Linked DNA regions of Anolis sagrei. The protein of the gene in region 1 interacts with the protein of each later gene in a pairwise test. Links are inferred from orthologs where the notes say so. Each region holds a gene or a part of one and is shown on either strand. Other genes may lie near its edges.

Region 1 (7,489 bases):
CTTAGGGAATACCTGTATATGTGTGTGCATATATACATATATATCAGCAATGGACAAACTTCGGCCCTCCAGGTGTTATGGATGTTTGTAACTCAGGGACTACCTGTATGTGTGTGTGTGTACAGACATGGGTAAACTTTGGCTCTCTGGGTGTTTTGGACTTCAACTCCCACAATTCCTGACAGTGGCTGTTAGGAATTGTGGGAGTTGAAGTCCAAAACACCTGGAGGGCCAAAGTTTACCCATGCCTGACACACACACATATACATGGGAGATAGATACAGTATCACAATTTTGGAAGGGACACCAAAGGCCATCCAGTCTGACAATGACTCTTCCGAGAGTGGATTTCCCTTCCTTCCGAGAGGAAGATTCCTCTCACTTCCTGTTGTCTCAGCCCCGTTTTTAACTAGGAGTCATTTGTAAGTCAGATGTTTTAAACTCAGGGACTACCTGTAGGTGCATGTGTGTGATACACACATATGACAGATAGAACTAGTATCATAAATTTGGAAGGGACCCCTAAAGGCCACCCAGTCTTTCCCCCTGACGATGAATCTTCCGAGAGTGGATTTCCCTTCCTTCCGAGAGGAAGATTCCTCTCACTTCCTGTTGTCTCAGCCAGGTTTTTTTAACTAGGAGTCATTAGTAAGCCAGATGTTTGTAACTCAGGGACTACCATATGACAGATAGAACTAGTATCATAAATTTGGAAGGGACCTCCAAAGACCACCCAGTCTTTCCCCCTGATGATGACTCTTCCAGGAGAGGATTTTCCTTCCTTCCGAGAGGAAGATTCCTCTCACTTCCTGTTGTCTCAGCCTCGTTTTTAACTAGGAGTCATTTGTAAGTCAGATGTTTTAAACTCAGGGACTACCTGTAGGTGCATGTGTGTGATTTATGATAGAACTAGTATCATAAATTTAGAAGGGATCCCCAAAGACCACCCAGTATTTCCCCCTGATGATGACTCTTCCGAGAGTGGATTTCCCTTTCTTCCAATGGAAAGATTGCTCTCACATCTTGTTGTCTCAGTCGCGTTTTTAACGAGGAGTCATTTGTAAGTCGGATGTTTGTAACTCAGGGACTACCATATGACAGATAGAACTAGTACCATAAATTTGGAAGGGACCCCCAAAGGCCACCCAGTCTTTCCCCCTGACTCTTCCAAGAGTAAATTTCCCTTCTTTCCGAGGGGAAGATTGCTCTTGTTGTCTCAGCCAGGCTTTTAACTAGGAGTTATTTGTAAGTCGGATGTTTGCAACTCAGGGATTACCATATGACAGATAGAACTAGTATCATAAATTTGGAAGGGGCCCCCAAAGGCCACCCAGTCTTTCCCCCTGACAATGACTCTTCCGAGAGTGGATTTCCCTTCCTTCCGAGGGGAAGATTCCTCTCACTTCCTGTTGTCTCAGCCCTGTTTTGAACTAGGAGTCATTTGTAAGTCAGATGTTTGTAACTCAGGGACTACCATATGACAGATAGAACTAGTATCATAAATTTGGAAGGGACCCCCAGAGACCACCCAGTCTTTCCCCCTGACAATAACTCTTCCGGGAGTGGATTTCCCTTCCTTCCGAGGGGAAGATTGCTCTCACTTCTTGTTGTCTCAGCCAGGTTTTTAACTAGCAGTCATTTGTAAGTCAGATGTTTGCAACTCAGGGACTACCATATGACAGATAGAACTAGTATCATAAATTTGGAAGGGACCCCCAAAGACCACCCAGTCTTTCCCCCTGATGATGACTCTTCCGAGAGTGGATTTCCCTTCCGATTCCTCTCACTTCCTGTTGTCTCAGCCAGGTTTTTAACCAGGAGTCATTTAAGTCAGATGTTTGTAACTCAGGGATTACCATATGACAGATAGAACTAGTATCATAAATTTGGAAGGGACCCCCAAAGACCACCCAGTCTTCCCCCTGATGATGACTCTTCCGGGAGTGTATTTCCCTTCCTTCCGAGGGGAAGATTCCTCTCACTTCTTGTTGTCTCAGCCAGGTTTTTAACTAGGAGTCATTTGTAAGTCGGATGTTTGCAACTCTAGGACTACCATATGACAGATAGAACTAGTATCATAAATTTGGAAGGGACTCCCAAAGTCTTTCCCCCTGATGATTACTCTTCCGAGAGTGGATTTCCCTTCCTTCCGATTCCTCTCACTTCCTGTTGTCTCATCCAGATTTTTAACCAGGAGTCATTTAAGTCAGATGTTTGTAACTCAGGGACTACCATATGACAGATAGAACTAGTATTCTAAATTTGGAAGGGACCCCCAAAGACCACCCAGTCTTTCCCCCTGACAATGACTCTTCCGGGAGTGGATTTCCCTTCCTTCCGATTCCTCTCACTTCCTGTTGTCTCGGCCAGGTTTTTAACTAGGAGTCATTCGTGAGTCGGATGTTTGCAACTCTGGGACTACCATATGACAGATAGAACTAGTATCATAAATTTGGAAGGAACCCCCAAAGGCCACCCAGTCTTTCCCCCTGATGATGACTCTTCCGGGAGTGGATTTCCCTTCCTTCTGAGGGGAAGATTCCTTTTACTTCCTGTTGTCTCAGCCAGGTTTTGAACTAGGAGTCATTTGCAACTCTGGGACTACTATATGACAGATAGAACTAATATAATGGAGTGGGTTCCTCCCACTTCCTGTTGTCTGAGCTTCGTTTGACCTAGGACACGTTTGTAAGTCAGGTGTTTGCAACCCGGGGACGGCTTGTATATAAAAAATGACCAGGATTGGCTTTGACAGCTTTCTGCCTTCAAGAGGAAGGCCTTCTCAGCCAGGAGGGCGCGAGGGAGGGAAGACAGTGGAGGGGAGAAGAGTTCCCTGCAGCAAGGGACCTGACGGTGAGGCCCAACTCCGACCCGGCCAGGCAGGGCCGGGCAGGGCCCAGTGTTCCCCTCCCTCCCTTCCTTCCTTCCTGGCGGGTCCTCCCCTTCCTGCCTCCTCCGGGCCCCGGCTCCCTCCCCGGCTCCCTCGCTCACTCACCGGGCCGGGTCCCGGCGGCAAAGGCGGCGGCGGCAGCGGCGGTAGAACCAGCAGCCTGGCATCCAAAATGGCGGCGGCGCGGCCTCAGCACCGCTCCCGCAGGCGGAAGGATACCGTGCCGGATCTCACTCAGGCTCTCTCTCTACCTCTCTCTGGCCCGTCTTTCCTTCTTTCCTTACTCGTTCCCCTTCCGGAGAAGCCCCGCCGCGGCCTCCCTTCCTCCCCTTCCCTGACTAATAAGCGAGGCGTCCTCTAGCAGCAGATTACCGAGGGACTATTTCCCTCCGCGGAGGCATCCGGGGTGAAGGGTGAGAGGCCGTGCGTGGCAGGCACTGATGACGTCACGCGCTTGCCGAGTCACCGCTGCGCCTCTCCCTCCTTCCCTCTCTCCCTCCGCCCGTCAGTTCCTCCGAGAACGGCTTTGTGTCCCAAGGAGAAGGGCTCGGGGCCTCTTCTCAGGTCAAGGGGCGGAGCTGGAGTTCTTTGGTTCCCTCCTCGGCTCCCTCCCTCCCTCGCCATCGCTCCTATTGGGGCGGGGACGGCTTCCTCCGCCGTCGCCTTGGCAACCACCGACGCGTCATCACTAAAGGCCTGGCTATGCTCTCTTTCTCTACCCCGCGCGCTCTTGCGACGTCACGCCCGCGGCACTTCCGGCGCGCCGAGGAGAGGCCGAGGGCGGGCCCAGGCCCAAGAGGAGGAGGAGGAGGAGGCGGCGGGATGGAGGAGCCTGGCCGCGGTGGGGCCGAGCCAAGCGGGGGAGAAGGAGACGGAGGAGGCGGCGGCTCCGGGGGCGGACAAGAAGAGGAGGAAGGCGGGTGAGAGAGGGAGAAGGAGAGGGGAGGTCTGGGAGGGGAAAAAACCCCAGAAAATTGAGGGATTTGTTTTCGTTTACTTCCAAATAATAATAACAACAACTTTACTCTAGTCCTGTTCCGCCCTCAAATCTGCACATACCCACTTTTCTGGAAATAGGAAAATGGGTTTATATATCTGTGGAATGGCTGGGGTGGGGCAAAGAGCTCTTCTCTGCTAGGGCTAGGTGTGAATGTTTCAGCTGACCACCTTCATTAGCATTTGAAGGCCTGGCTGAGCCTGGGAAAACCTTTTGTTGAGAGGTGCTAAGATGTGCCTGGTTGTTTCCTCTCTGCTGTTTTGCTGTTGTAATTTTAGAGTTTTTTTAATACTGGTAACCAGATTTTGTTCATTTTCATGGTCTCCCTTTCTGTTGAAATTGATCACATGCTTGTGGATTTCAATGGCTTCTCTGTGTAGTCTGACATGGTGATTGTTGGTGTGGTCCAGCATTTCTGTGTACTCAAATAATATGCTGTGTCCAGGCTGGTTCATCAGGTGCTCTGCTATGGCTGACTTCTCTGGTTGAAGTAGTCTGCAGTGCCTTTCATGTTCCTTGATTTGTGTTTGGGCGCTGTGTTTGGTGCGTTTGTCCTAATTCCAACAGACCTCACTACCTCTGAGGATGCTTGCCATAAATGCAGGCGAAACGTCTAGAACATGGCCCTATAGCCCGAAAAACCCCACAAGAACCTAATAACTTTACTCTAGTTCTCTTCCGCCCTCAAATCTGCACATACCCACTTTTCTCCGCTATTGATTGTTTGTTGTTTGGTTATTATAATAATACAGTCCAGTCTCTGGGTTGTTCTAGGTTTTTTGGCTGTATGGCCATGTTCCAGAAGCATTTTTATTAATTATTATTATTAAACTTTATTTGTACCCCGCTAGCATCTCCCGAAGGACTCGATGCGGCTTACAAAGGCCAAGGCCTCAACATAACAACAACAGACAATAACGATGCAAGCAAATTAAAACATAAGCAATAACACAACAAAACATTACACTATTATACAATAAAATCAGGGCCAGGCCAATGAAGGGTTCAGGTTAAAAAAGGTGCTGGATGTGAGAGGTGGTATGTTGGAGTTCTGGGCAAGTGCAATGTGCAGAGAGTATTAAACTCTAGTAAAGTGCTTCTGGGACAAGGTGCTGGAGGTTATCCTATTCTGGAAAGGCACATCGGAATAGCCAGGTCTTCAAGTTCTTCCTAAAGACTGCCAACGTGGGTGCAAGTCTAATGTCTTTGGGGAGGGTGTTCCAAAGTCGGGGGGCAACCACAGAGAAGGCCTTGTCCCTCGACCCCACCAAACGCGCCTGCGACGCAGGTGGGATCGCGAGCAGGGCCTCTCCGGATGAACGAAGTGAGCGTGTGGGTTTGTAAGCGGAGATGCGGTCACGCAGGTAGGCGGGTCTCCTGACGTTTCGCCTGCATCTATGACAGCCATCCTCAGAGGAGCCCCCGGTGGCGCAGTGGGTTAAACCACAGGTCGCAGGTTCGAATCCAGAGAGAACGTGGATGAGCTCTCTCTATCAGCTCCAGCTCCTCATGCGAGAAGCCTCCCACAAGGATGGTAAAAAAAATCAAAACATCCAGGTGTCCCCTGGGCAATGTCCTTGTAAATGGTCAATTCTCTCACACCAGAAGCAACTTGCAGTTTCTCAAGTCACTTCTTACATGATAAAAAAAAATCCTCAGAGGTTGAGGGGTCTGTTGGAAACTAGGAAAAGTGTGTTTCTAAATCTGTGACACAGATAAGGAACTCCCAGTGGCACAGTGGGTTAAAGCGCTGAGCTTGTTGACCGAAAGGTTGCAGGATCGAATCCGGGGATTCGACAGCTTCTGCTGTCAGCCCCAGCTTCTGCCAACCTAACAGTTTGAAAACATGCAAATGTGAGGTGATCAATAGGTACCACTACAGCAGGAAGGTAACGGTGCTCCTTGCAGTCATGCCAGCCACATGACCTTGGAGGTGTCTACAGACAACGCCAGCCTTTCGACTTAGAAATGGAGATGGCCACCAACCCCCAGAGTCGGACACGCCTGGACTTACTGTCAAGAGAAAACCTTTACCTTTACTATATCTGTGATATTGAAACCCCAACCTTTCCAACTGGAATAGAAATAAACTTTGGTGGCCTTTCTTCAACCTGGTGAGAATTATTTGGGGAAAGGGAAAATCTTACTGGCTTTAATAGCTCACCAGGCATTTTGCGAATCCTCAGGACCCCTTGAAAGGATAGCAGTCTCAGACTCAGCAGCCTTCCCAAGGGGGATTTTTCTGCCTTCCGCTGGTCCCTGCTTGCTGCAGGACTCCCAATTTCTGCTCAGTTGGAGCCCCCAGTGGTGCAGTGGGTGTTAATGTTTCAATTGGCTACCTTGATTAGCATTTAATGGCCTAGTGGTTTTCAAGGTCTGGCTTCTTACTGCCTGGGGGAATCCTTTGTTGAGAGGCAATTAGTGTCCCTGATTGTTTCTTTTTTATTTTTGTTCTTTATTTACTATCCTGATTTTTTAAATACTGGTAGCCAGATTTTGTTCATTTTTATGGTTCCTCCTTTCTGTTGAAATTGATCACATGCTTGTGGATTTCAGTGGCTTCTCTGTGTAACTTGACATGGTAGTTGTTAAAGTGCTCAGCATTTCTGTGTTCTCAAATAATATACTATGTCCAGGTTGATTCATTAGGTGCTCTGCTATAGCTGACTTCTCTGGTTGAAATAGTCTGCAGTGCCTTTCATGTTCCTTTCCACAGATATAATACCCCAATTTCCCTAGTTTCCAACAGACCTCACAACCTCTGAGGATACCTGCCATAGATGCAGGTGAAACGTCAGGAGAGAATGCTTCTAGATCATGGCCATACAGCCCAAAAAACCTACAACAACCCAGAGATTCCAGCCATGAAAGACTTCAACAATACAGTAGAGTCTCGCTTATTCGACATAAACAGGCCAGAAGAATGTTGGATAAACAAAAATGTTGCATAATAATGGAATCTCCTACTGTTAGCCATCCATTAGACATCTAGAATACTAACAACGGTGATTCAAAGGGTTAAGGCAAGGCAATGCCTCAGGGATAGAGCGGCTAAGCAGGAAGTGCCCGGATTCGGAAGAGGAGCATGAAATTTAGAGGACCTCCTCCTCCTCGTCTTACTTTTTTCACTTATTGGGAATGGAGAGAGTTGGTGAGCGCTCCTTCAATTGAAGGTTAAATGCTGGAGGAAAGGGGGGGGGCATTGGATAAGAGTGTCGAATGAGACGGAACATCGGATAAGCGAGACTGTTGTAATAATAATAATAAATTTATTTTTGTACCCGCCTCCATCACCCCAAAGGGACTTTACGTATGGCACAATGTACCTAAAACATTACATAAAATAAGTAAACAATACAATACAGAATAAAACCAAAAACATATAAATAAAGCAATAATTTATACTCAAAACCAGCACCCAATAACCTATGGTGAGATCTGTCATGAAACCTGGCCAAGCAAACACAATAACAAGGTCATGAATTGTGCAAATCGTAGCTACTGAGTAAAGTGCAGTGCTGTGTCATTGATTGTGGACCATTGGGGCTAGTTGTCCAAACAGCCAAGTCTTCAATTCCTCCTGGAAGGAGGACAGTGTGGTA
Region 2 (7,283 bases), on another chromosome or scaffold:
GCTCTTCGGCTTAGAAATGGAGATGAGCACCAGAGTTCCAGAGCTGGACACGGCTGGACTTAATGTCAGAGGAAAACCTTTACCTTTACCCTACACACATATATAGACACACAAAACACGTATACACAGACTGGGCCACAGCAATGTGTGATAGGGGACAGCTAGTATAGAATAAAAACAATATTTTTAAAATTATAATTATTATGTATATAGAATGAAAAATAAGAATAAAATAAAATATAAAATAAAAGGAAATAAAAATAGCTTATTGCAGGAGACATAAGCTCTATCTAAAGAATAATATTATATGTATTATTTATATAGAATGAAAAATAAGAATGAAATAAATATAAAATAAAGCATATAATATTTATTCTTTAATAAGAATAAAATCAAAAGTAATAACAAAATAAAAATGGTGACAATATAATGATGTGAGGTTGCGTTGCAGTGGCAATATACATATACATACACTGCCTCCATGCTTTCTCCCCATATTTCCCAGTTATCAATCATTCTTGTTGCCATAATCTTTTTTTTTATGTTTAACTGCAACCCAGCTTTTGCGCTTTCACCTTGATTAGAAGGCTCCTCAGCTCCTCCTCGCTTTCGACCATCAAAGTGGTATCATCTGCATATCTAAGGTTGTTAATGTTTCTTCCAGCAATTTTTACCCCAGCCTTGCATTCATCAAGCAGCGCACATCGCATGGTGTGTTCTGCATACAAGTTGAATAGGTTGGGTGAGAGTATACAACCCTGCCGTACGCCTTTCCCAATCTTGAACCAGTCAGTTGTTCCATGGTCAGTTCTTACTGTTGCTACTTGGTCCTTATACAGATTCCTCAGGAGAGAGACAAGGTGACTTGGTATGCCCAGACCACCAAGAACTTGCCACAATTTATTATGATCCACACAGTCAAAGCCTTTAGAATAGTCAATAAAACAGAAATAGATGTTTTTCTGAAATTCCCTCCCTTTCTCCATTATCCAACGGATATTGGCAATTTGGTCTCTCGTTCCTCTGCCTTTTCTAAGCCCAGCTTGTACAACTGGCAACTCTCGCTCCATGTCTTGCTGGAGTCTTCCTTGCAGGATCTTGAGCATTATCTTACTGGCATGAGAAATAAGGGCCACTGTATGAAAGTTTGAGCAGTCTTTAGCATTTCCCTTTTTTGATATGAGGATATAAGTTGATTTTTTCAGTCTGATGGCCATTCTTGTGTTTTCCATATTTGCTGGCATATGGCATGCATCACCTTGACAGCATCATCTTTCAAGATTTTAATCAGTTTAGATGGGATCCTGTCATCTCCTGCTGTCTTGTTTATTTATTTATTTATTTGCTTTATTTCTATACCGCATTTTTCAGCCCTTAACAGGCGACTCAATGCGGTTTACATGGTACAATTATCAAACAGTGTCAGTGCAATTAAAACATTGTTGTTAGCAATGCTTCTTAAGGCCCATTCAACGTCACTCCTCAGGATGTATGGTTCTAATTCACTCACCATGAGTGAGCTGATCTGACCAGCTGCAGGGAGTTCCACAGTTCCTGGATGCCCCGTTGGGCCAGCACTGATGAAATGTGCCTCAGCAGCAGCCTCAACCAAGGACTCTGCAACCTTGAGCTCTCTCCTTTTGCTTCTCTCCCCCGCCCTAACATTGTAACGAAACCCCTAATAAAGACTAACTGAATTGTAACCTTCACCTCTTCATAGTGATACATTGTGTCCTTTTCTTGGCTCACCAGTATGCAATGCATGAATTTACCCTTTTCCAGGCTGCGGGCAGCCGCTGGCCTGCCCAGGATGCCTCCTAGGCGTCCCGGGGAGGCTGAATCTGCGTTTCTTCAAACCGCAGATACGGAAACCCCTCGGGACCCTGTATCCGCGAGTTGACAAAACAACTCCATTTTGGTGCCATATTTTTCCTAGCTGAATTCTAACACTATCTGCTATCTCGCTTTTTGCATCTCGGGCCCCTGCTCTCGGGGAATAACCTTTTTTTATTTTTGAGAATATATTTTAAAAGAAAAACAGCTGATTGTCAATCCAAGCTTTCTTGCTGCTGCATTGCTCCCGCCATTGCTGTTTCTTCGTCCTTCTGGAGCCCCAGGACCCGGGGACTTGATGCGGTCGCCCCATGAGGCCATCGGGGAGTGGGTCTGTCACCTGGCTCCAGCCCTTGGAAGGAGTTATAGTTCTCCAAGGACGAGCTTCAGCCTCAACGAGGCAGAGCTCCATATCTTGGCTCAGTGGAATCACCAAGCCTCTCCTTATGATTCTTGAACCTTTTTTGCCCCACATCAAGACTTTTCTCCCTTTAAGGACATACTTTCATCTATGGATTTTCCTATAATGGACTATGGACATATATTGAGCCATGATCAAGGCTCTTATCAATTTCCCAATGGGATGCAGGGGGGAGGGATAGGTGGGTGTATTTTCTGTAACGACTTGGCTTTATATAATTATATGATAGTACTTTAATGTGTTTATATTAGTGTATTATTGATGTGATGTTTTTAAACTATTGTGTATGAACCCCCTTGTTGTAAACCAGCCTGAGTCCCTCGTTGGAGGTGAGAAGACTGGTATATAAAAGTTCTAAATAAATAAATAAATAAAATTATGATTTCTATATTTCTATATTTTCCCCAATGTATCTGACCTTTTCCTGACCCTTTTGCCCAATTCCCCTTTATTGAAAAATGTATAAAAATGCAAGGCAGCCACCCCTCTGTGATCCAGGATGGAAGGAAAATCACCAGTTGAAAAGACCCTTATCAGAAGACTCAATTGCATGGACAATAGAAGAGGGTCATGACCTCTGGGCTCAGAGTTAGTCCCCCAGAGGAAATGGTCCATTGGCAATTTTGATCATATCTCATTAGGACGGAGGAGGCCTTCGGAAAGCCGCACACCGTCCTAATCTGTCATCCATTCAACTTTTCTCTCACTGAAACTTCCACCAAAGTTCCCCCATTGTTCCTATGTCTCAGCCCTGGGAAAATCCAGATTATGGCAGGATCACCAAACATTAATGTTTATTGCAACCACTCAGTGACAATAGCCAGACTGGCTTGCAGGCCCTTAGGACTCGCTGGTCACTTGGACATTTCCTAATCTTCATAATCCACCCAAGAATGCATTGTTTCCCCTTGTCCCGCCTCCCTCTCTCCTGATTCATCGAGGCGCCGAGGCGGCAGAAGCTCAGTGATTGGCCCAGGCGCTCGGTAGGCGGCTGAGCCTCCTCCCAGCTGTAGAGGCGCCAGCCAATCACCATCAAGCCGGGCGGAGAGTGGGAAATTCAAACTTGGCAACTCTGTTACTGTATAAAAAAGGCTTTTATTTGTGTACATGTTATGCTTAGCTTGGTGAAATATTGCTGATTTGCATCCTTTCCAGCTGGATCGCAATAAAATCATCTCGGTGGCGCCTCCTTCAACTTTGTTGAGATTCTTTTTGGGAACTTAGGGGAAAATGTTTTAAATTGCGGCTTCTCTTGCTCACCACTGTAGCGAGCCCTTCTTGGTGGGTCCGCAGGGTTTCTCCTTCAGGGCCAGACCCTTCTAAATTCCTGCTCGATTTCAACCACACTGTCAAAACTATCCTCGATATTATTACCCTTCCTATACAGATCTTCTGTATAGTCCCGCCACCTTCTCTTGATCTCTTCAGCTTCTGTTAGGTCCCTGCCATCTTTGTTTCTTATCATGCCCATTTTTGCCTGAAATTTACCTCCAATGTTTCTAATTTTCTGGAAGAGGTCTCTTGTCCTTCCTATTCTGTTGTCTTCTTCCACTTCCATGCATTGCTTGTTTAAAAAATAGTTCCTTATCTCTTCTGGCTAACTTCTGCAATTGTGCATTTAATTGGGCATATCTCCCCTATCACTGTTTTCTTAAAATTAAATATTGTCCGTAAATAAACCAAGTGAAGGGCCTTTTGAAGGAGTAGGCCCAATGCTGTTGCCAGGGGCAACGGTCGCCCCAGGCAACTGCTCAGCGGGGGCTCGCTCACGTTCTTCCGCAGCCCTGTCCCGGCCCCTTTACGCATGCGTGGCGTTCTCCCCTAAGGTCTTTCCCCCCTCTGCGCACGCTCGCCACGCTTATCATCCGTGTGCGCATGCTCGCGTCGCACGGGTCCGTGTGCGCATGCTCGCTTCATTTCCGCCCGGGCTGCAGCTGAGAGAGGACGCTTCGGCCTGAGCTGCAGAGACGCGGAAGGAGAAGCCGAAGCTGAAGGCGGTAAGAAGCGCCCTTTAATGGGAATGTCAAACTGTAATCCATGGGCATATTTATTATTGTCTGAGTGAGATTAAAATAAATGAGATTGTTATATTATTGTGATGATGTTAATCCTTTCGCCTCCGTTTTGCCTTGAAATAAATGCGATATTATTATTATTATTATTATTATTATTATTATGTTTAATGCTTTAGCCTCCAGTTTGCCGTAAAATAAATGAGGTAATAATAATAGTTTTAGCCTTTGATTTGTCTTGAAATAAATGACATTATTATTATTATTGTTATTTTTAATGCTTTAGCCTCTAGTTTCCCTTAAAATAAATGAGATAATAATAATAGTTTTAGCCTTTGGTTTGTCTTGAAATAAATGACATTATTATTATTATTATTATTATTATTATTATGTTTAATGCTTTAGCCTCCAGTTTTCCTTAAAATAAATGAGATAATAATAATAGTTTTAACCTTTGGTTTTGTCTTGAAATAAATGACATTATTATTATTATTATTATTATTATTATTATGTTTAATGCTTTAGCCTCCAGTTTGCCGTAAAATAAATGAGGTAATAATAATAGTTTTAGCCTTTGATTTGTCTTGAAATAAATGACATTATTATTATTACTATGTTTAATGCTTTAGCCTCAAGTTTGCCTTAAAATAAATTAGATAATAATAATAGTTTTAGCCTTTGGTTTGTCTTGAAATAAATGACATTATTATTATTATTATTATTATTATTATTATTATTATGTTTAATGTTTTAGCCTCCAGTTTGCCTTAAAATAAATTAGATAATAATAATAATAGTTTTAGCCTTTGGTTTGTCTTGAAATAAATGACATTATTGTTATTATTATTATTATATTGAATGCTTTAGCCTCCAGTTTGCCTTGAAATTAGTGAGATTATTATTATTATTATTATTGCTATTTTAGCCTCCAGTTTGCCTTGAAATAAGTGAGATTATTATTATTGTTATATTATTATTGTTATGTTTAATGCTTTAGTCTCCAGTTGTCTTGAAATAAATGAGGTTCTTATTCTATGATGATGATTATTATTATATTTATTGTTTTAGCCTCTAGTTTACCTTGAAATCAATGAGAGTATTATTGTTGTTTTAGCCTACAGTTTACCTTGAAATTATATTATTGTTCTTACTTTCCAATTTTTAATTCATATTACTGTTATTCAGATTATTGTTATATTCAGAAATTATTATTGCCATTTTTTCATTTTTATTACTATTATTTTTATACCCTGCTTTTTCTCTCCATTGAAGAGGCTCAAAGCACAAGATTATTATTGTTGTTGTTATTGGAAGGGAAAACATTAAGCAAATATAACAATATTACTTTCAGATATGGGAAAATAAGAAAAAGAATCTAGTTTCAAGGTGAACTAGAGGGTGAACCATTAAACAAATATAATAATATAGTAATATTTGGAGAGAAAAGTAGGGTATAAATAATAATCATAATAATATTAATGATAATAATGTGTTTTCATCTGTTTTAACACAAACCTCAAGGATTGGCACAGTACATTTTAAAAATTACGATATTGTATGTTATTATGGTGTATTATTCTTATTCTATATTATTATGATAGGCCATTATTACAATTTATAGTGCATTGCATTATTGTATTTTATTTTCTTATAATATATTATTATATTAGAAAATATATTATTTATTTATTTATGATGATTATCGATATTATATATTATTATATAATATGGCTCTGTGACTACCAATATTATGATTATTATAGTATTACAGTATATATGATATATTATCATTACGATTTATATAGTGATCTGCAATATGATCTGACAAGACTCCACATTAATGTATATATTATTTAAAATGCATATGAATGTTTATTGATTGTTTTATATGTTTATATATTTGTTTTAATTGCCATTGTTTTGTACTGTAATATGTAGGAAGCTTTGGATCCCTTTGTGGGAGAAAAGCAGGACATAAATAAAAATGTATTATTATTATTATTATTATTATTATCATCATTGTACATTATATTATTTTTATTATTTTATCTTATTTATTATTATATTTTTGATATGATATTATTATATGATATTCTATGAATACCATTATCATTATTATTATTTAATTCATTAATTAATAAGGGATTGTGCAGAATGGGACTTCTTCTAAGCACAATTGGACTGTTCCATGGGAAATTTGGTTAAACCGAATTAAAGAAACATGAAAACAGCAGGAAAAAGGAAAAGGACGCTGGATATTATTATTATTGTTATTATTATTATTATTATTATTATTATTATTATTTCCCATGGACTAAAATTAATATTGTAATAAAATATTATTAATAGAATATTAATAATAATATTTCTTCTCCTTCTCTTCAGCCTTCTCGATCCACTGTACCTCGGGATTAAAGAATACTGCTAATATTTTCTATAAGGCCCATCCATGTTGCCCTGTGTCTCCTGTTCGTGACTGGGGATCAGGCCAACTTTCCCCATTAATCATTCATTCAGAGTCCCCTTTCGGTCTTTTATCAGGAGGAAGGGACACAGAGAACAGGAATGGACAAAGAAGGCTGTTTTTTGTGTGAACCATTTGTTCAAACACAGATAAACAGAAGGGAGGAAATAGGCATGAACCCACCACTTCCCTTCTCTTCTGCTTACGTTGCATTTCTTTTGTAAACTCTTTGGGGCAGAGAACTGGATTTTGTTGTGCATTGTCTCACTCTAGAGATATAGGCACTGTTATTATTGTTATTGTTATTATTTTGGCTTAGAAGGATCAGTTTCTATATTGTTATTGTTATTATTATTATTATTATTATTATTATTATGGCTTTGGATCCATTCCTATATTATATTTATGATGATGATGATGATTATTGTTCAGAAGGATGCATTCTATTATTATTATTATTATTATTATTATTATTATTATTATTATTATTATGGCGGCTTAGGATCCAGTCCTGTATTATATTTATTATGTTATATTAATATAATAATAATTA
Region 3 (7,322 bases), on another chromosome or scaffold:
TCCTGACTGTAAGGAGATCCGTTCAGCAGTGGAACTCTCTGCCCCGGAGGGAGTGTGGTGGAGGCTCCTTCTTTGGAAGCTTTTAAGCAGAGGCTGGATGGCCATCTGTCAGGGGTGCTTTGAATGCAATATTCCTGCTTCTTGGCAGAATGGGGTTGGACTGGATGATGGCCCAGGAGGTCTCTTCCAACTCTAGGATTCTATGATTCTATGATTCTAATGGGAGTGAAATAATAATAAAAGGAAATAAAGAATCCAACTGAAACATCCAAGAGGGAGAGAGAGGGAGGTGTGTGTGTGTGCCTATTTCCTGACCCTTCCCCTCTTCCTCCCTCCTCTCCTTTATCTCATATTATCTATAATTATTACAAACATATAGATCAGTACCATACTCGAGATGTAGATTGATGGGATTCCCTCCGGCGGGGACACTCTACCTGCTTCCTCCTCCTCCTCCTCCGGGAACTCTCTGTCTCTCCGGAAGGAAGGAAGGAAGGAAGGAAGGAAGGAAGGAAGGAAGGAAGGAAGGAAGGAAGGAAGGAAGCGCGCCGGGCGGATCCCTAGCAAGCGGGCACCTGCCCGGCCCCAAGATGGCGCCCGAAGGAAGGAGGCGGGGCCTCTGCCCGGCTCCAAGATGGCGCCCAAAGGAAGCAGGCGGGGCTCCTGCCCGGCCCCAAGATGGCGCCCGAAGACGGGAGGCGGGTCTTCTGCCCTCCCTCGACTCCGCAATCAGAATGGAATGATGAGAGAATAGAATAATAGAATAATAATATAATGAGGAACAGGAGGAGGGAGCAACCGGGCACATCTTAACACCTCTCAACAGAACATTTTCCCAGGGTCATCCAGGCCTTCAAATGCTAATGAAGGTGGTCAGCTGAAACATTCCCACCTAGCTCCAGCAGGCAAGAGTCCTTTGTCTCACCCTGGTCATCATTCCACAAATATATAAACCCTTTTTCCTAGTTCCAACAGACCTCACTGCCTCTGAGGATGCTTGCCATAGATGCAGGCGAAACGTCAGGAGAGAATGCCTCCAGAACATGGCCCTATAGCCCGAAAAAACCTACAAGAACCTAATCTCTGTATATCTCTATCTTCTGTTGTGCTATTGTTAATGCTTACTGTTTGTTTTTTGTTTATGAGTTTTATTTTATTGTTTTGTATTATTGTTGTTATTGTTTATTGATGTATTGTGGGCTCGGCCTCATGTAAGCCGCACCGAGTCCCTTGGGGAGATGGTAGCGGGGGACAAATAAAGTTTTATAATTATTATGGTTGTTGTTGTTATTATTATTATTATTATTATTATTATTATTCTGTCTGTATCTCTATCTCCTCCCTCTCTATCTTCAATCAGGGCTAATCAATAAAGAAACCCAAAAAGGACAAGGAAGGGTGTCCAGAATGGTGGGAGTTGGAGTCCAACACACCCGGGCAGCCCAGGTTGGCCCTCGCCTGGAATGATGCACCCAGAAAAGCCACAGAGAAAGGATGAGGGCCTTGTTAGGCCACTGCCCCATAATGAACCCTAGCGTGTCTTTCTGCTGGTCATCCTTGGGGCGTTGACCATGGGCCACTTAGAGCAGCGCTTCTCAACCTGAGGGTCGCGAGGGGGGTGTCCGAGGGATCACCAAAGACCATCAGAAAGTGCAGTGTTTTCTGGCGGCCATGGGGGTTCTGTGTGCCAAGTTTGGCCCAATTCTATCCTTAGTGGGGTTCACAATGCTCTGTGATTGTAGGTGAACTATAAATCCCAGCAACTACAACTCCCGAATACCAAGATCTATTTTCCCCAAACTCCACCAGTGTTCACATTTGGGCATATGGAGTATCTGTGAAATGGCAGGGAAACAGGTTTTGAGGAAAGGAGAGATATTTACCAAGAGACATCCTTTCTGGAGATCAGAAAAGGTACGGCTTTATTTCCAGCTGGCGACTCTGGTGGGACTCGTGTCCCAAAAGCAAAACCCAGAGCCCCCGATCAAGGTGCGGACTGGCCTTTTATAGTCTCCAATCGGAATGAAACAAAGAACATACGTCTTCATACAATCATCATCATCCCTACGTCATCCTGGCATCATAAGAATATCAGGTTCCAACCTCCAACATGCAAAAAGCATGTCTCTGTGTCTTGCTGAAACCAAAGCAAGCATGGAGTGTCCCTCCTCCCTCTTGGCTGTGCTTACAGTCATCCATCAAGAGGCCACTTGGACCTGTCAGAGGTGCTTCTTAGTACCAGTCCATGGCTCCCATTAGGGCTTATCTCTCTCTCCTGGAATGTTTAGATAGCATTGCTGTGCCTGGACACAGCTTGGTTTCCTTACACAGGAGAGAGAGCCTGAATATTCTATGCATTTCAGTGCTTATAAAGTACATATGATTTTTATGCATAAACCAATAAATATATATTTCCAATATCTCCTCATCATCTCTGCCAAATTTGGTCCAGATCCGTCATGGCTTGAGTCCACTGTGCTCTCTGGATGTAGGTGAACTACAACTCCCAAAGTCAAGATCCATGCCTACCAACCCCTTCTAGTGTTTTCTGTTGTTCATGGGAGTTCTGTGTGCCAGGTTTGCTTCCATTCTATCACTGATGGAGTTGAGAATGCTCTTTGATTGTAGTTGAACTATAAATCCCAGCAACCACAACTCCCAAATAATAATAATAATAATAATAATAATAATAAACTTTATTTATACCCCGCCACCACCTCCCCGATGGGGACTCGGAGCAGCTTACATGAGGCCAGGCCCGAACAACAATTACAATGAAGAAAACCAAGACGCAACCAAAAACGCAAACAGTAAACAATAACATCATACCAAACGTTTGGACCACCAAATGCAGCGTTGCCCAAACACGAATCAAGGAACATGAAAGGCACTGTGGACTATTTCAGCCAGAGAAGTCAGCCATAGCAGAGCATAGCAGAGCACCTGAGGAACCAGCCTGGACACAGCATATTATTTGAGAACTCAGACATGCTGCAACAACCACCAGGTCAGACTACACAGAGAAGCCATTGAAATCCACAGGAAGCATTTGGGGAATTTCAACAGAAAGGAGGAAACCATGAAAATGAACACAATCTGGCTACCAGTACTAAAAAACTCTAAAATTAAAACAGCAAAACAACAGAGAGGAAACAATCAGGCACATCTTAACACCTCTCAACAAAAGATTCCCCCAGGCTCAGCCAGGCCATCCACTGCTAACCGAGGTGGTCAGTTGAAACATTCCCACCTAGCTCCAGCAGACAAGAGTCCTTTGTCCCACTCTGGTCATTATTCCAAAGATATATAAACCCAATTTTTCCTACTTCCAACAGACGTCACAACCTCTGAGGATGCTTGCCATACATGCAGGCGAAATGTCAGGAGAGAATGGCCAGATGGCCCGAAAAAACCTACAACAACCCAGTAAATAAATACGAGTTTTGGATAAATATATAAAATATACACTTATATCAAATATATAACACACATATTATATATATATTATATATATATATTATATAATATATATTATATAATATAATTATATTAAAATTATGTTGCTGTTGCTGTTCATTCGTTCAGTCGTCTCCGACTCTTCGTGACCTCATTAAAATTATATTATAATTATATTATATTATATTATATACTTTATATAATATATAATATATATAATAAAATAATTATCACAGAATTAATTCTGTATGGCAAGCAACCTCAGAGGTTGTGAGGTCTGTTGGAAGTAGGAAAATGGATTTATATATCTTTGGAATAATGACCAGGGTGAGACAAAGGACTCTTCTCTGCTGAAGCTAGGTGGGAATGTTTCAACTGACCACCTCCGTTAGCAGTGGATGGCCTGGCAGTGCCTGGGGGAATCTTTTGTTGAGAGGTGATTAGATGTGCCTGATTTTTTGTATTCATTTCGGGAGGGAGTTCAAAGCGCCTTCCTTCCAAGAGGGGGCGCTTCCCATTCAAACCAGCCCCGGGCCTTCGCCGCGCGCGCCCATTGGCCGCCTCCTTTCCCCAGCCCTTCCTTGATTGGCGGAGGCGCAGGGAGCGCTCTGACGTCAGAATAGGAGTCCTTCGCGCCTGCGCGGGGCTGGGGAAAGAACTGCAACTCCCAGCATGCCCCGCTCGGGGCGAGGGGAAGTGACGCCAGCTGCCTAGCCGCGATGCGCGCGCCCCTTCCTCCGCTTCAGAACTACGGCGCCCGGCATGCCTCGCGCGGGCTCAGGGAAGCGCTTCCGGCTGGACCAGGGCCTCGGTGGTAAACAACCAGGTAAGGGGAGGAAAGGGAGGAAAGGGGGGCAGGCGCGGCTCGGCAAGCATCCTCAGAGGTAGCAAGGTCTGCTGGAACTAGAAAAATTGGGTTTATATATCTGTGGAAAGACCAGGGTGGGAGAAAGGACTCTTGTCTGCTGGAGCCAGGTGTGAATGTTTCAGCTGACCACCTTGATTAGCATACAATGGGCTGACTGTGCCTGGAGCAAACTCTTCTTGAAAGGGTCTGTTGGAAGTAGGAAAATTGGGTTTATATATCTTTGGAATGATGACCAGGGTGGGGCAAAGGACTCTTGTCTGCTGGAGATAGGACAATGGGTTTGTATATCTGTGGAATGATGACCAGGGTGGGGCAAAGGACTCTTCTCTGCTGAAGCTAGGGGTGAATGTTTCAGCTGACTACCTTATTTATTTACTTTACTTTACTTTACTTTGCTTATATACCGCTGTTCTCAGCCCGAGAGCGACTCACAGCGGTGTACAACATAGAAGGACAAGGTTCAAAATTCAACACAATCAAAAATATCAGTCTAGCAATAATCAAAAACATCATCAACAAAAACACAACAATATCAAAATACAAAAAGCCATTCGCATCGTCTCATCATCTAAACCACAATCCAGTCTCATTTTCCGTTGTTCCATTCCTGTCGTCATTACCAATCATTGCACTTCTTGTTCAAACGCCCTCCTGAACAGCCAAGTCTTCAATTTCCTGCGGAATACCATCAGGGAAGGAGCCAGTCTGATGTCCACGGGAAGGGCGTTCCACAGCCGAGGAGCCACCACCGAGAAGGCCCTGTCTCTCGTCCCCTCCAGGCGTGCCTGTGTTGCAGGCGGGATCGCGAGCAGGGCCTCCCCGGAAGATCTCAAAGTCCTGGTGGGCTCGTAGGCCGAGATGCGGTCAGATAGGAATCTTGGGCTGGAACTGTTTAGGGCTTTATAGGCCAACGCCAGCACCTTGAATTGAGCCCGGTAGCAAATCGGCAGCCAGTGGAGCTGGTACAACAAGGGCATTGTATGCTCCCTGCGTCCTGCTCCTGTTAGTATCATGGCTGCCGCACGTTGGACCAATTGAAGCTTCCGGCCCGTCTTCAAGGGCAACCCCACGTAGAGAGCGTTGCAGTAGTCTAAACGGGATGTAACCAGAGCGTGGACTACCGTGGCCAAGTCAGACTTCCCGAGGTACGGGAAGTTGTTCATTAGCATTTGAAGGCCTGGCTGAGCCTGGGAAATTCTCTTGCTGAGAGGTGTTAAGATGTGCCTGGTTGTTTCCTCTCTGCTGTTTTGCTGTTGCAATTTTAGAGTTGTTTAATACTGGTAGCCAGATTTTGTTCATTTTCATGGTTTCTTCCTTTCTGTTGAAATTGTCCACATGCTTCTTGTGGATTTCAATGGCTTTACTGAATAGTCTGACATGGTGGTTGTTGGAGTGGTCCAGCATTCACACCTAGCTTTAGCAGAGAAGAGCTCTTTGCCCCACCCCAGCCATTCCACAGATATATAAACCCCTTTTCCTATTTCCAACAGACCTCACTACCTCTGAGGATGCTTGCCATAGATGCAGGCGAAACGTCAGGAGAGAATGCCTCTAGACAGCCCGAAATAACTACAGCAACCCAGTGATTCCGGCCATGAAAGCCTTCGACAATACAGCCTACTGGCTGTTAGGAATTGTGGGAGTTGAAGTCCAAAACACCTGGAGGGAGGGCCGAAGTCTTCCCATGCCTGCTTGAGATCAATGGTGTGGCTGCTTGCGTGACTCTGACGCCCGTGGTGTTCTCTTTCCAGGTTCCGCTTGGAGCCCAGACTGGAGATTTGCGCAGCCGAGCCCCCCCGAGGAGGCCGAGGCCATGTCCCTCTCCGAGTGCTACATTGCGGTCAAGCTGGCCGACCAGCCCTTGGCTCCCAAATCCATCCTGAGGTTGCCGGAGACGGAGCTGGGGGAGTGTCCCCTGGGCGGCTGCAGCATCTCCTACCTCAAGCAGCTCATCACCGGGAAACTACAAGAGTCTGTTCCTGACCCAGAGCTCATCGGTAAGCGGCTAGGCTCACTTGATGCCCCATTGAAGTATGTTTTACGCAGGCTGGCCCCACATAACTGGGACTTGGTGTGGTTAGCAAAAACATCTTTAAAGATGCAAACATTATGCAATAACATAACGAGGCTGCTGTTGATCAATGTCAGACAATTAATCTTACACTATGTCACAAAATTTGGGGGAAAAAAATCTGTTCCTGGTTTGAAAGTATTATTTCCTGCTTAATTGTGTGGTACGTACTTTGAAAGTAGTCGTTATCTTCCAAAATCTTTGTGGCTGCCATTAAAAAAATTCTGTCACGTAGTTTATTAATCAGTACATGAGTTGGTATTGCAATTTGATTTTTGGGCTTGGCCTCTTGTAAGCTGCTCCGAGTCCCTGTTGTTGGGGAGATGGTGGGTATAAATAAAGGTTATTATTATTATTATTATTACTATTATTATTATTATTATTATTATTATTATTATTATTACTATTAATAATATTATTATTGCTCATGCCATGGTCTTCCTCAGTTTTGCTACAGTTCTGAATCATAATGTAAATCTCTGACATGCAGGACGTTTTTTCATTCACTGGAGCAAATTTGGCACAAATAGCCGATACGCCCAAATTTCAATACTAGTGGGATTTGGGGGGGGGGGGGGGGAGGGGGATTGATTTTGTCATTTGGGAGTTGCTGGGATTTATAGTTCACCTACAATCAAAGAGCATTCTCAACTCCACCAACGATGGAATTGAACCAAAGTTGGTACACGGAACTCCCATGACCAACAGAAAACATTGGAAAGCTTTGGTGGGCATTGACCTTGAGTTTGGGAGTTGTAGTTCATCCACATCCAGAGAGCACTGTGGAATCAAACAAAGAAGGATCTGGATCAAACTTGGCACGGATTCTCAATATGCCCACATGTGAACACTGGTGGAGTTTGGGGAAAATAGGCCTTGATATTTGGGAGTTGTAGTTGCTGGGATGTATAGTTCACCTACAGTCAA

The links. The genes of interacting proteins can lie anywhere in the genome.
Region 2: the proteins of AP1G1 (region 1) and AP1B1 interact in a two-hybrid assay, tested with the Homo sapiens proteins (2 studies listed by BioGRID, with this or other methods). The link is inferred for Anolis sagrei from reciprocal best matches to the Homo sapiens genes AP1G1 and AP1B1.
Region 3: the proteins of AP1G1 (region 1) and ubiquitin-like protein 7 interact in binary tests that used the Homo sapiens proteins (3 or more experiments, as listed by UniProt). The two-hybrid records come from large-scale screens. The link is inferred for Anolis sagrei from reciprocal best matches to the Homo sapiens genes AP1G1 and UBL7.

Annotation. Positions count from the first base shown.
Region 1 is NC_090028.1:29,557,706-29,565,194, reverse strand, and holds the start of AP1G1 (AP-1 complex subunit gamma-1), read right to left. Parts: upstream 3,092-7,489; 5' UTR 2,996-3,091; intron 1-2,995. UniProt on the Homo sapiens protein: Subunit of clathrin-associated adaptor protein complex 1 that plays a role in protein sorting in the late-Golgi/trans-Golgi network (TGN) and/or endosomes.
Region 2 is NC_090034.1:48,666,627-48,673,909, reverse strand, and holds the start of AP1B1 (AP-1 complex subunit beta-1), read left to right. Parts: upstream 1-4,144; 5' UTR 4,145-4,251; intron 4,252-7,283. UniProt on the Homo sapiens protein: Subunit of clathrin-associated adaptor protein complex 1 that plays a role in protein sorting in the late-Golgi/trans-Golgi network (TGN) and/or endosomes.
Region 3 is NC_090023.1:274,626,019-274,633,340, forward strand, and holds the start of ubiquitin-like protein 7, read left to right. Parts: upstream 1-4,183; 5' UTR 4,184-4,218; coding exon 4,219-4,282; intron 4,283-6,075; coding exon 6,076-6,321; intron 6,322-7,322.